2 linked regions of the Astyanax mexicanus genome follow. The protein of the gene in region 2 interacts with the protein of the main gene of each other region in a pairwise test. Links are inferred from orthologs where the notes say so. Each region holds a gene or a part of one and is shown on either strand. Other genes may lie near its edges.

Region 1 (7,225 bases), on a different chromosome or scaffold from region 2:
TTTCTTCTGTACATTCACAGGTGATATTAGGAAGCATTTTTTTTACATTTAAAAATAAACAGTACAGGTTTTACCTAATTACTCTTTCCAAAAAAGCTATACAGTGAACCTGAATATAATCACAGTCAGAGTAAATAATAATAATAATAATAATAATAATAATAAAATTCATCACCAGAATTGTAATCGCAATCCAAGTTGAGAAAGACAATTTTGAATTCAGAATCTGAATTTTAAGCACAATCAATCTTTAGATATAGAATTATAATGAAGAATCACAAATATCAAATCAGAATTTACAATCAGAAATAGAATTCATGCCCAGAATTGCCACTTGCAACTTAAATTCAACCTGAAAAATGTGTTATTTCTATAATCAGATTAAAAGCAATGGTTTATCATTTAAAGGAAAAGAAAATAAGACCACACCCACATTTTAAAGTATCTATGACAGAAACTACTATATTATATGTCGTATAGATAACATGGATAACATGGTGTTGAAATATGACATGGAATCAGAATTTACAATCAGAATTCATGGTCAGAGTTGTAATCACAATCAGAATTTGAATTCAGAACCAGAATTTTGAGTTTTCAGAATTAATGTTTTATAGTTAAGCACAGTTAATACAATTAATAACAGACGTAAAATTATAATTCGGGTTCATAAATAACAAATGTATTCACCAAAAACTGTCTGAAGCAGTTTGAAATCAGACTTAGTACAGTAATCAGTTCTGATTTACAATTTAGAATATGAAGTTAAATTGTATTTAAGACTTACTATTAAACGTTCAGCAGTATTAATACGAATCAAATACAAAGCAAAATACAGTATCAGAACTCAGGATTAGAACTGCTCATTTAAACACCACTACAGTAAAATACAAACATACAATTAGCTACATATTTTGTGTGGTTATAATTCTATTTATTTATTCTAAGTCTGATTTCTGATTGTGATTATAAATGTAATGTGATTATATAAACAGGTTTACTGTAGAATGTTTTTTTTTATTTTAGACAGAAGCAGTTGTTATGTAAATTATGCAAACATGTTTGTGCGAATAATTCACATTTAGCAGTTAACTGTTCTGTGTGTGTGTGTGTGTGTGTGTGTGGTATTGCATTTTTTTAGGGTTACCTGAGCTGATTGCTGGGTACAGCAGAAGGAGGACCAGGGTGAGACCCGCAGTCAGACAGACGGCCATGCTGGAGATACACTCTCACACTCTCTGACACTTTCTAACAGACTCTCTAACACACTCACACACACTCTAACACACTCTCTAACACACTCACACACACTCTGACTCCTTCCCAGTGCTGTGTCATTAACATAATCACACCGTAGCTCCTCCCCCTTGTGGGTTCGGCTGAAGAAGAGTACTGTGAGTGTGAGATCTGAGAGGGTTTAGCAGGAGATTACACACTCAGGTGAGACAGTAGGTGTTTATTAGAGGTGTGTAAGTGCAGTGTGTAACTGACCACTGCAGCTGGGCTGGACACACAGTGAACTGTGTGAAGGACTGAGCTGAACTTTAATATTATTAAAAATCACAGATATGTGAAATTGTGATGTTAAAATACATTTAAACTTCTTCAAAAAGCTCTAATTACAGCATCTGTGTGGGTTTATAAACCAAACACAGCCAACAGTAATTGTCTGACCGCCCCTTTAAGACTGATATGGGTGGAGCTAAAATACTCTAGGCTTAATGAGTGGAACTGAACTAAATGGGAGGAGCTAAACTGCTGTAGGCTGAATGGGAGGAGCTATACTGCTGTAGGCTAATTGGGAGGAGCTAAACTGCTGTAGGCTAATTGGGAGAAGCTGGGTGGGGCAAACATTTCGCTGAATGGGAGGGGTTAAACTGCTGTAGGCTGAATGGGAGGAGCTAAAATACTGTAGGATGAATGGGTGGAGCTAAAATAGTATATGCTGAATGGGAGGAGTTAAACTGCTATATGCTGAATGGGAGGAGCTAAACTGCCGTAGGCTAAATATGTGGGACTAGAATGGGAGAAGCTACACTGCTGTAGGCTAAATGGGAGGAGCTAAAATACTGTAGGATGAATGGGTGGAGCTAAAATAGTGTTCACTGAATAGAAGGAACTAAAATACTGTAGAATGAGTGGGTGAAGCTAAAATAGTGTTAGCTGAATGGGAGGAGCTAAAATACTGTAGGATGAATGGGTGGAGCTAAAATAGTGTTCGCTGAATAGGAGGAGCTAAAATACTGTAGGATGAATGGGTGGAGCAAAAATAGTGTTCACTAAATGGGAGGAGCTAAAATACTGTAGGATGAATGGGTGGAGCTAAAATAGTGTAGGATGAATGGGTGGAGCTAAAATACTGTAGGATGAATGGGTGGAGCTAAAATAGTGTTCTCTAAATGGGAGGGGTTAAACTGCTGTAGGCTAAATGGGAGGAGCTCAAATACTGTAGGCTGAATGGAAGGGGCTAAAATACTCAAGGCTAAATATGTGGGACTAGAATGGGAGGAGCTAAACTGCTGTAGGCTAAATGGGGGGTCGAAACTAAACTTCTGTAGAATGAATGGGTGGGGCTATTATACCATAGGGCTAAAGTGCTGGAGTCTGAATGGATGGGACTAAACTGAATGGGTGGGGCTAAAATACTGTTTTCTTTCTTAGATTCTTCAGTTTTCTTGCAAACAACCACAGATCAGTCATTTAATAATAATGTGAGGGCCTGTCCAGCCTAACAAACACGGTGTGTGTGTGTGTGTGTGTTTGTGTGTATAAGTGTGTGTGTGTATACGTGTGTGTGTGTGTGTGAGAGAGACGGATGGGATCATTGTGGGAGAAGATTAGACACCCTGTGGGCTGAATACCAAACAGCGCCTGACAATAGCGGCTCTACACGCTGCGTTATTCACATTCCCTAAAGGGGCATTCCACCCACTTCTCAAAATTCTCTATTTAAATAAAGTTTAGATGTAAATACAGTTATCCAGATTCCAGCCCCCCCCCCCCCCCCCCCGAGACAGTTATTACAGTTATAAATGTACTGCCTGATATCTGAAACTGTTTATCTGAAACACTGTTTTACCAGAGTTCTAAGAAAACTCTGGAAATAAAACCTGTTTACATGCTGCAGGGTGTAGTGAAAAAAGCAAAAAATAGTGCCTAAATAATTATATTAGTTCCGTTTCAGACGGTTCAGGTTCAGTTGTTGTCAACCATACTGGTTACATTGATCTGGTGAGTGGTGCTGCTCATGCTCATCAATTGGTTTGGTCCTACTGGTTGAATAGCTTGGTCAGGCTGGCCATGATTGATTGGTGTGGTTTTGCAGCCTGGTTATACCAGATGACTGATTTGGTCAGGTCATTCATGCCAACAGGTTTTGTCATGGTGGTCATATGGATTGTCTAGTTTGGTCAGGTTGGTCATGGTGTGGTTTGTTAGGTTATACATTGGTTATATGTTGCCCATACTGGTGGAATAGCCTGGTCAGGTTACTAATGAGACCAACCAGCTTGATCATGCTGGCCAGCTAGCTGGGTCATTTTTTTTTGTGATGCTCATGTTGGTCAACAAGTTTTGTGAGATTAGTCAAACAAGGTCAAGCAGGTCATGCTGCCCAACTGTGGTCAACCAACATGCTCATGATGTTCATGGTCATCAGCCACTATGGTAATACTGGCTGACTGGTTGCTGGTTTGGCTAGGAGAGTAACACCATTTCAAGTCAAGTCAAGTTTTTATTGTCATTACATATGAGTTCAGGTACACAGTGTAATTAAATTACGTTTGTCTGGAACCATGGTGCAACATGGGACAACAAACAATAACCAACATACAGTGCAAGGTGTAATGACTGTAAAGACTGTAAAATTACAATAAATACAAAATACGAGACAATTTAAAAGACAGGACAGTGCAGTACTGATATGGTATAATAGTGAGGATAAGGTGCAGCGATATGTAAACATACTGTAACATATAGAACATATATAATCACAGCAGTTACTGAGGTAGAGAGTTTATAGTTTTTGAGAGTAGCAGCAAATATTGCTGATAGGAATAGAGACCTTTCCATCTCTGTTTGCTGAGAGAGTGAGAGTTAGTGTGTGTGTGTGTGTGTGTGTGAAGTACAGTCTTTGTGTGTGTAAAGGGTGGTGGGGGGATCAGTTCAGTTTTGTTTGAGTGTTTTGGGTGTGTGGTGGGTGGGGTGGGGGTTCAGCTCTGTCTCTGTGTGTTGAGGAGTCTGACTGCCTGGTGGATGAAGCTGTTGCAGAGTCTAGTAGTGGAGGCTCGGATGCTCCTTTATCTTCTGCCGGACGGCATCAGAGCGAAGAGTCTGTCTGAGGGATGGGTGGGGCCGTCCACAATGCTGGTGGCTTTGCGGATGCAGCGTGTGGTGTAGATCTCTGAGATTCAGGTTAGAAAGACTCTGATGATCTTCTCAGATGTCCTCAATATCCGCTGTAGGGTCTTGCGGTCTTGAGGTGTTGTGGTTCCTAAACCAGACGGTAATGACGGTAAATATTGTTCAAGCCTCTGTATGTACTGTACGTATGCAGTTTTGACATTAAAACTAGTAGTTTTACTGGTCAGGAGCTGACCAGGTGAGCTAGGATTGTGTTGTTTTACCTGCTGTTCCTTTAAGAGCTCCGCGCTTGCGCGCCGTCCAGCCACGTAGCGCCACGTCTCCGCGCATGCGCAGCAGCGTGCTGTAGGAAACAGCTCCGCAGCTGATCAGGAGCTCGAGCAGCGGAACCACCGGAACCAGCGGGGATTACCGAACCGAACCGGCTCTAAACCCGGTTAACCCAGCGCAGGAGGAGCGGAGCACCAGCCCACACCATGAACTTCTTCCGCGGGGTGATGGGGGGACAGCCCGCCGGCCCGCAGCCCTCCGGAGCCGACACCGTGAGCTAATGCTAATGCTAAAGCTAATGCTATTGCTAACAGGGCTGTGTGTGTGTTTATCAGTAAATAAGAGTTAAAATCTGAGTTTAGATCCTTTATAAACCTCTAAACTTCAAACCTTACACTCTAGTCCACAGTATAAATATCACACAGCACTGTTACTGTCTGATTATCACACACTACACCCAGTTAAACTGTCAGATTTATCAGATTATAGCTTTAATATTCACTTAATATCATTTAACTGCTGATATTATTATACTATAATAACACAGGGCTGATCAACAGCACTACATCAACAGTAATATCACGATAATTTAGATTATACTGATACTGATATTATTACAGAGTGTGCTGAGAGTCAAAGTGTCAGAATAATCAGATTTTATCTGTATTATTAATCAGTTAGCTAGTGTGTAGCTAGTTGTATATATATAATATCATGTACACATTCTCCATAAAGGCCATATATTCTAGATTGAATGTATGTATGATACCCGTGTGGGTTTATGAACCAAAATCAGTCTAACTTTATTTATGACAAAAGGAATTGAAAAAGATATATAAATAAAACAAAAAAACAGTATTTAATAAGGAGGCACTGATATGGAAAATTATAGGCCGGTGGCGATAACCGATATACACATTTTTAACTATAACTTTACAAACAAATATAATGTTTACGGTATATACCTTATATCTTACCTTCGACCAGATGTATAAAATAAATTAAATTAAATGTTTTTGTATTTTTGGTCCTTACATAGACTCTTCACAGCTTTAAACTCTTTTTATTAATTGTAAACATCTTAAATAAAACAAAAATATCTTCTGAAACTAATAGAAGCAAAAGTAAAGTAAGTCAGTGCCACCACTGAAAAATAAGCAGCTAATAAACATTAAAAGAAAGTAATATTAAGTATAAATGATGTATAATGCTCAGGTTAAGATTGAATTAATACGAGATTATAAAAAAGGAAACAAAGCCAAGAAGGTAATATAAAAAAAACTGATGTTTTTAGAAATAAACAGATTTAGAAGTAAGATTTAAGAGTTATATTTTCATATGCACAGCAAAAACAAGCAGTTACACACCTAGTATAATGTAATTCTTACTATGCAGTTCCTCCAATTACCGTCAGTCTCACGCAAATAACAGTATAAAAGTAAAGAAACATGAGCATTTATAACAGAGGTCGTCAACAATCATTTGTAGTATATATATTTATATACTTTATATGTTAGTGACGTTATTATAGAAGTTGGTAGTTGAATAATGAGTGAGTTTATTATATAATGAAAGTGAAAGTGTTTTAATAAAGTGAGAAACTTATAAGGAATATATTATGGTGTGTACATCAACTCACCAAGGGAAGATGATCGTTGTCTTTCTGCAGTTTAGTTAAGGATCAATTAAGTAATTCTATTCTATTTTAATATTTTTTTTATTGTATTCTGTCCTGTTGAGCTGTGAGGTGTAATTCAGAACAGCTCAGTAAATATTTCAGTTTAATGTCCTGAAGCTCATTCCAGTCATAGCTAGTCATAGTATAGCTAACAGCTTGTTTTCTTATTTCCTCCTGCAGTTGTAGGAACTTTAAGACCATTGTCTTTTTACAATACTTATATTATTGTATAATGAAAGGACATGACCTCTGTGATTTTTTACTCAGATCAGTATCCAGTAGCTTGTTGTCTTTACTTGCATGTTTATTAACATACAAAAAAAACGTCACCAATATTTTAGCCAGTCATGCCATAATCAATACGCCAATAACTCCGCCTCCGTACACACAGAGCGCACTGTGTATAGATTATCTCTCCTAATCAATTCTGAGATAAAGACTAGCTGATACCAGCTGATATCCCAGTCTTGTCTTAGCTGTGTCACAGGAAATGCATTTAACCGTCCTGTCGTGGTGAAATATAGTGAAGTGTATGTGTTTTAAATATTGATGATAATATATTTAACTAATATACGTTAAAAAAACAATATACTGTATCTGAACAAATATAACAGAAGAAGCATTGTAGATTAATACTAAACTCATCCAAACAAACCAGAATATATATTTATATTTTAGATTCTTACAAGTAGCTCCTCTTGTTTAGATGATCAGTTTTGAACATCTCTGCTGGATTTTCTCAGTCAGTTTTATGAGGTAGAGTCACCTGGAATTCAGGCTTTCAGTTAACAGCTGTGCTGAACTCATCAAGAGTTAATTACTTGAATTTCTTGTCTCTTAACCCTTTAACGCCTGAATTAATGTAGCTGTATATGAAAAAATGTTTCATGTGTGTTTTACCTTTAAGTAGATAGT
Region 2 (7,158 bases):
CTCTTTGGTTATCTCTCTCTCTATTATTCTCTGTTTTTATTGCTGTTTGATTTTTCTCTTTCGTCTGTTTCCCCTGTTCCTTTATGCCCTCTTGTTCTCTCTTTTTCTTCTTGACGTTTTTCTTTTCTCTCTGTGTTCTTATCTTTGTGTCGGTGTCTCTTTCTTTTCTCTTTTTTATGTTTCTAACTCTTTCTTCTTGTTCGCTCTGTCTGTTTTTCTCTTGTTCTAACTTACATACTCACTTCCCTCTCTCTCTCGCTCTCTCTCTCACACACACTCTCTCTCTCTCTTTCTTCCTCTCTTTCTTTTTCTCTTTCCCTCCTTCTCTCTCTTTGTCGTTCTGTCGGTGGTGTATTGTTTGACCTGGAGTGCCTTTAGAACTTCACTTCCTGTGAACTGCAGGTCTAAATGAGTCACTGCGCTCAGATGCGTGGGTGTGTGTGTGAGTGAATGTGTGTGTGAGAGAGAGAGTGTGTGTGAGTGTGTTTCTATAAGTGTGTGTGTGTGTGTGTGTGTGTGTAAGAGTGTACGTGTGTGTGTGTGTGTAAGAGTGTACGTGTGTGTGTGAGAGTGAATGTGTCTGTGAGTGTTGTGTGTGTGTAAGATTGTGTGTGTGTGTGTGTGTGTGTATGTGAGAGTGTGTGTGTGTGTTTCTGTAAGATTGTGTGTGTGTGTGTGTGTGTGTGTATGTGAGAGTGTGTGTGTGTGTTTCTGTAAGATTGTGTGTGTGTTTGTGTTCTCAGTGCCGAAGTGAGGTTTACTGTAAACGTTAATTCCGCCTGTTTCGCAAAATTGATACAAATATTTCCAATATCAGCAAATCTGATCTCTTTTACTTCCTAAATGATTGTTCTGTGAAGTCTTTCAGTAATGAGATATTCAGTATCCATTATGAATGTATCCAGTGTCTAGTATAAAACAATCCGTATCCATTATAGATTACTCAGTAATTACTATGAATTACTATGAATTCACAAGGAACTATTCAGTTACCACTATGAAGTATTCACTATCCATTATGAACTATTCTGTATTCATTATGAATTTCTCACTATCTACTACAAATTATTTAACAAAATATTTAGGATCCACTAGGATTTTTTTAGTGTATGATAAGTACTATGCAGTATTTACTATAAACTATTTAGTATTTTATAGTATTTACATATTTTTCAGTATGACTTTATTAAGTATAATTTTAAGATTAAGTATCCAGTATGACATGTTCAGTATTAACCATAGATTATTTAGTATCCAGTTTAAAATGCTCAGCATTCATTATGAATTATTCAGTATCAACCATAGATAATTGTGTATCCAGTATGAAATGTTCAGTATTCACTACAAATTAAGTATCCAGTTTAAAATGTTCAGGATTCATTACATTTTTTGTATCAACTATAGATTATTCAATATCCAGTATGAAATGTTCAGTATTTACAACAAATCTTACAGTATCAATTATGAATTATTTGGTATCCAGTATGAAAAGTTCAGTATCCACTGTAATTGTTTTGTATCAACTATAGATTATTCAGTATTCAGTATGAAATGTTTAGTATTCACAACAAATTTTACAGTATCAACTAAAGATTGAGTATTCAGTATGAAATGTTCAGTATTTACTAAACATTTTACAGTATCAACTATAGCTTATTCAATATTCAGTTTATGTTCAGTATTTATTACAAATAGGCAAAACCATTTTGTGGAAATATCTGAGAGGTCAAACGTTACAGAATTCTCCTAAATTTGCCGTAAATGTTTGGACACTTCAGGATGTGAATCAATCACTAGTCAGTAAAGGTGAATCTACTGTCTGTGTGTCTCAGAGATTAAGATGAGTGAAGATGAGTAGTGTGAAGATGAGCAGTTTGAAGATGAGCAGTGTGAAGATGAGCAGTTTGAAGATGAGCAGTGAGAGATACATGATCAGAGAAAACCCTGCAGAAACCACAGAGCAGCACAGGCTCAGCCCATGTGACCACACTGCCCCTCTGCGGCTGACCGCGAGTATTACAGCCGATCAGGTGTGTACAGTAATAAAGTAAATATAATGGCTTCCTATATTTAAGTAATTTAAGTAAAATATTTACTGATGTATTTCTTTTTGTGACTTTTTATTGTGGGGTTCAGCCCAATTCTGGTAGTTGAAACTACTTTCATTCTTTTAATCATTACAAAGTTTTTATAGGAGACAGTCACACGGGTTAGATATAATTATGTTTAGGAGAACCTACACTACTTAAATATATCTTCAATTGAGATGTAAATATTAACAGAATTTAAGTATCTGTGTGAATTTGAAAACGTTTTGAAGAAAAAAATCTTTTGAAGGAGTGCCAGGTTTGCTGTTTTTCACAATTGATTTTTCACAGAAGCTTCAACAAACTGCAGTAAAGAATGAGGTGGAAAGAGGAAGAGTCATATAGAGTGAGGGTACAGTGAGAAAGAGTGAGGTATAGTGAGGGTAGAATAAGAGTAGAGTGGGATACAGTGATGTAGAGTTAGAGTAGGGTGAGGTAAATAACAGAGCAGCAATGCCTCTTTCTACCTGAAGACAGAGCTCTTAAAGTAGCACTTCCTCCCCTAACACCTCTATCAAACTAACTACTTCTAACCTAAGTTCCTGCTCTCCCTCCTTTGCTCTTCTAATTCCATTTGGTCTACTTTAGGTCCTTTAAAAATGTTTTTTTTTTCCTTTAAATTCTATGTCCTCTATTGCTAAATGTACATCATGAATCCACTAAATATAATGTTATGTAATGTAACTCCTTCCTACCTGCACTCACTCCTGAAGGATTACGTTACCTACCGGCCGCTGAGCTCCTCCTCCAATGCCTCGCTTTACCAAACAAAAATTCACACAAAGCAATCCAGACTGTTCTCATACAGAGTTCCCCAATGGTGGAACAAACTACCTTCTACTACCAGATCAGGAGAATCTCTCACTATCTTTAATAAACTCCTGAAGACAGAGCTCTTCAAAGAGCACTTACTCTCCTAACACCTCTAACACACTAACTACTAACCTCATTTCCTTCTTCCCATCCTCTACTCCTCTATCCAATTATTCCCTTTGATCTCCTTTAGGCCCTATCTAAAGATGTTTGTACCTTTAACTTCTATTACTTTTGTACTTCACTATTGTAGGTCCCTTTGGACAAAAGCGTCTGCAAAATTTAATGTTATGTAATGTAAAGGTAGAGTGAGCATAGAGTGTGGAAGAGTGACGGGATCGGGACGGTCGGGAGGTAGAATGCCCTCAATAACGTTTTGCATTCCCCAAAAAGTGTGCTCTTGCATACATCTTGTATGGGTTCCCTCGCAAAAAAAAAAGGGCCTCCACAAATGTTTACATTCCCTTACAAAACAATTGTATTTACCTAGTTTTAAATTCCCTTGCCAAAAAATGTGTTCCCTCCAAAACGTTTTACATTCTGTTCCAAAAAAAATTGTATTGTCTTGCAAACTTTGTTTTAAAAGTTTTTAATCCTCTCACAAAAAAAGGTTTAGGTTTGCCGTTGGAAAAATAACTGGATAGACTGGTAAAAACATTCAAAAGATAAATGTTATATTTATCTGGATTTAGTGAGAATATTGATCAGATGTAATCCATTTTAACTCTGTTTATGTGAATGTTGATTAAATATTTATATAATGTTAGTATTGTTTACTACGCCTACTTCACATTTTTTATTGCCTCATTGTAAAAAAAATATTATTGAGCCAAATTGAGGTGAATCTGTTGTATTATCTGTTGTATCTGTTGTATCTGTTGTATCGGTCCAGTGTATTAGTTTTGTGCCCCCTTGGGAACATTAACTGCCCACCCCTCGTTTAGGGACCATGTAGAAAAATAACTGGATAGATGCTTCCCCCTAAAAAAACAATACGAATATAAACACAACATTCAGCAGATAAATGTTATTTTTTCTGGATTCTCTTATCTGCATATATTGATAAGATTTAATCCATTATAATCCGGTTTAATTATCTGTATGTATCCGATATCCCCATATTCCGCACGATTCCTCTTTAAGAATTATGTAAACAAAGACTCCTCCAGCGTAACGGAGCGCCGGATTTCCAGCGTAGTGCTATTACCGAACGCTCCTGCGCCCGGCCCTCGCCCGGCAGCGCGTGCGTCAGCTGCGTAAGTGCAGCGCTGTATGTGGACATATGCACGCATGCTCTTTGTGAAGGGGGAGTGAGAGAAGAGCATGAATGGAGCAAAATGGCGGATCATGTGCAGGTAAGCAAAGCTTTTTATTAGTGTGGGCTGAAAGCAGGGCTGTTCGGCTCGGTTTGGGTCAGATCTCCGCGCGCGTGCTCCGGTTCTGTGGGCTGTGCTGGCCCGGTTCGGGTGTGCTGTGCTGGGTGCGGTGGTGGTGATGATCAGCAGGAGCAGTGTGTTGACTTGGCCCTGTCATGCTGATGATGTGCTGTTCGTGCTTATTTACGTTGGGCTTGGGTGCAAACTTGTGCATGCGTGCGTTTTTGGCGCAGGGATTGCGCCTTTTAGCGTGTTTTAAAAGCACGTGCATGGACTCAGTTAGATTATTGCATGCAATGCAATTTAGTTCAGTGCAGTGCACTGAAATCGCTCCCAGTGTGCTCCCAGCGTTACAGTGTAAACAAGGCGCATCCTCCTCCTGCAGCGCGTGCGATTCCCAGACAGTACAAAAATCATTTTCTCAACCTTCACGTTCATTTTGTCATCACTAATGAACTGTTGATTCAACTTTGTGCATTTTTTTTTTTGTTTTATAACATTTGGTAAAAATCATTTTGAGTAACTTACATCTTATACAGAAGCCCCCCAAACCATTCAAAAGCCTGTAAACATAACTAGCTTACATGGCTACACGTTGAGTAAACGTCCGACTTTGTAAAACACCAATCTAGCTGATAACCCTAATAGCTAAGTGTAACAAGCAGTGTTGATAGCGGTTGTTTAATTTATTTTTAACGTAATTCCAACGCTGAAAGCTCTTGAAATTGAACCTTTATTCAATGTTATTTGCTAGCTTAGCGGTAGCTAACCTAACGCTGTCTATCAGGGCTGGGTCTGCTAGCTTAGCTTAAACTGTAGCTAAATAAGTTACCCTCTTTTTAAAAGCCCACACTTTGGAGGGAACGCCCTAAATGCGAAAAACAAGTTTATATTCATAATAATAAATTATAATTTACTCGTGTTGGTGCTTTATTACTATTAGATTTTATATTCAAGCTTAGCTAAGCTGATCTAGCACCTGCACTGCTGATAGGTTAGCCATGTTAGCTAGCATTAGATAAGCTAGATAACGGCCTTGCATTGCTTAGCTTAGCTCGGCTTAGCTTAGCTTTGTTTTGCTTATTTCTTACTATTCAATTCAATACAATATAGGTTAGCTTGTTAGCTTAGCTTAGCCAGTATTAGCTTACCTTATGTTAGTTTGAGTACGCTAGCATTTGTTGGAGATAGTTAGATACCTGGCTAGCTAGCTAAGCCAGTTAGCTGGCTTAACCTAGTTGTTTAACTGTTAAATGTATTTAACTGTTGTAAACGTGTGTGTTTAATGTTATCTCGCTAGCTAGCCATATAGTCCTGTGTTGGGGCTTAGTTAGCTACAGTTAGCTAGCAAAGTTATCCTGCTAAAATGGTAAATCCAGTTAGCTTGTTCCGGGTCCTGAAAGTAGCTAAAATCCATCCCAGGATTGTGCTCCAACTGCATGGACAGCTACAGTACAGCAGAGCTATCCGCGCTGTTTACAGAAAGTCCCGGGATGGATTTTAAGCCTCTTTCTGGATCTGGAGTTGCCACTGCTGTCCGCTAGCTCTGTCATTTCTCCCGCGCTGTATTGTGAAAGCAAAAGCACAGCAAATATGCTACAAACTGATTTAAAACACATTTATTTAGTTAATTTTAGTACAGATTTTAGTCAGTAATTACATTTTAACAGCAAATATTAGCTGTGTTTGAACAGAATGAGCACCGGGCTCTGTTTAAAGCTAGCTAGCGTTAGCGGTTGCTAGCTAAGCAGGAGCACATAGGACCCGGTTAACGTTAGCTATGCTAGCTTGCTTTAAGGTGAGCTTATACTTTTTATTATTCATAAAAAATAGTGTACTATTGATTTGAGATGTACAGTTTAATTTACTTATTTGAATATTAGTTGATTTAGCTAAGTTTAGTTTAGCAACTAAGCTCAGATTAGCCCCAGTTAGCTAGCTAACTAGCTAAATTCTTTTGACAACTGCAGTTAGCTGACGTTAGCTCTGTAGGATTAGCTCTACTTTGGCAAGCTAATGTTAAGAAGTGAACACGAATGCACCTATTTAGCTATTTCACATTTTTATTTAAGTGTTAATATAACTAAATTCAACTTTTTAAATCCAGATTTAATAAAAAATACACCTTAAAAATACACCTTTCCTTAGTTTAACTAAGTCATTGGGCATTGCTTGGGATGCTGAGAATGTACACTGATGTATTGTGTACTTAAATTATTACTAAATACATTATTTGCATTTAAGGTAGAAAAATAATATACTTTAATATAGACTTTAATATTTACCAATTTGAGTGTTTTACAAATTATTGTACCTTTTATGTGACCGTATATCTGTGATCCATGATTTGTCTGAACAGTTTCTTTCCTAATGAATGTGCAGAAACATTGAGTTACATCATTTCTTAGAAATTCCTTGAAACACAAATTCCTTTAAAAGTGAAGAAAATTACTTATTGTACCTTTTTAATATGATCTATATCTTTGTGATCTATATCTGTGTGATCTATCATTTGTCAACAGTCTCTCTTTTAATAATGCACAAAAACTTTGAGCTACGTTATTTCTTTGAAATTCCATGAAACACAGATTCCTTTAAAAGAAAAGAAAACAACTTATTCTACCATTTAATGTTATCTATATCTGTGTGATCTATCATTTGTCTGAGCAAATTCTCTTCTAATAATCCCAAAAACATTGTTGCGTCATTTTCTTTAGAAATTTCTTGAAACACATTCATTTAAAAACAGAGTGGTTGCGATATATTTTAGGGGCTGGATTTTTTTTTTGTTCTAGAGATGTGCTGAAATAGAAATTTAGTTTGAAATCCAATAAAATTAAGCACTTAACTAATGGCCAGATATTTTTTACCATTGCATGATC

The links. The genes of interacting proteins can lie anywhere in the genome.
Region 1: the proteins of xpo7 (region 2) and uso1 interact in binary tests that used the Homo sapiens proteins (3 or more experiments, as listed by UniProt). The two-hybrid records come from large-scale screens. The link is inferred for Astyanax mexicanus from reciprocal best matches to the Homo sapiens genes XPO7 and USO1.

The regions. Positions count from the first base shown.
Region 1 is NC_064414.1:56,335,962-56,343,186, reverse strand, and holds the start of uso1 (general vesicular transport factor p115), read left to right. Parts: upstream 1-4,220; 5' UTR 4,221-4,838; coding exon 4,839-4,904; intron 4,905-7,225. UniProt on the Homo sapiens protein: General vesicular transport factor required for intercisternal transport in the Golgi stack; it is required for transcytotic fusion and/or subsequent binding of the vesicles to the target membrane.
Region 2 is NC_064427.1:21,556,048-21,563,205, forward strand, and holds the start of xpo7 (exportin-7), read left to right. Parts: upstream 1-4,148; 5' UTR 4,149-4,237; coding exon 4,238-4,255; intron 4,256-7,158.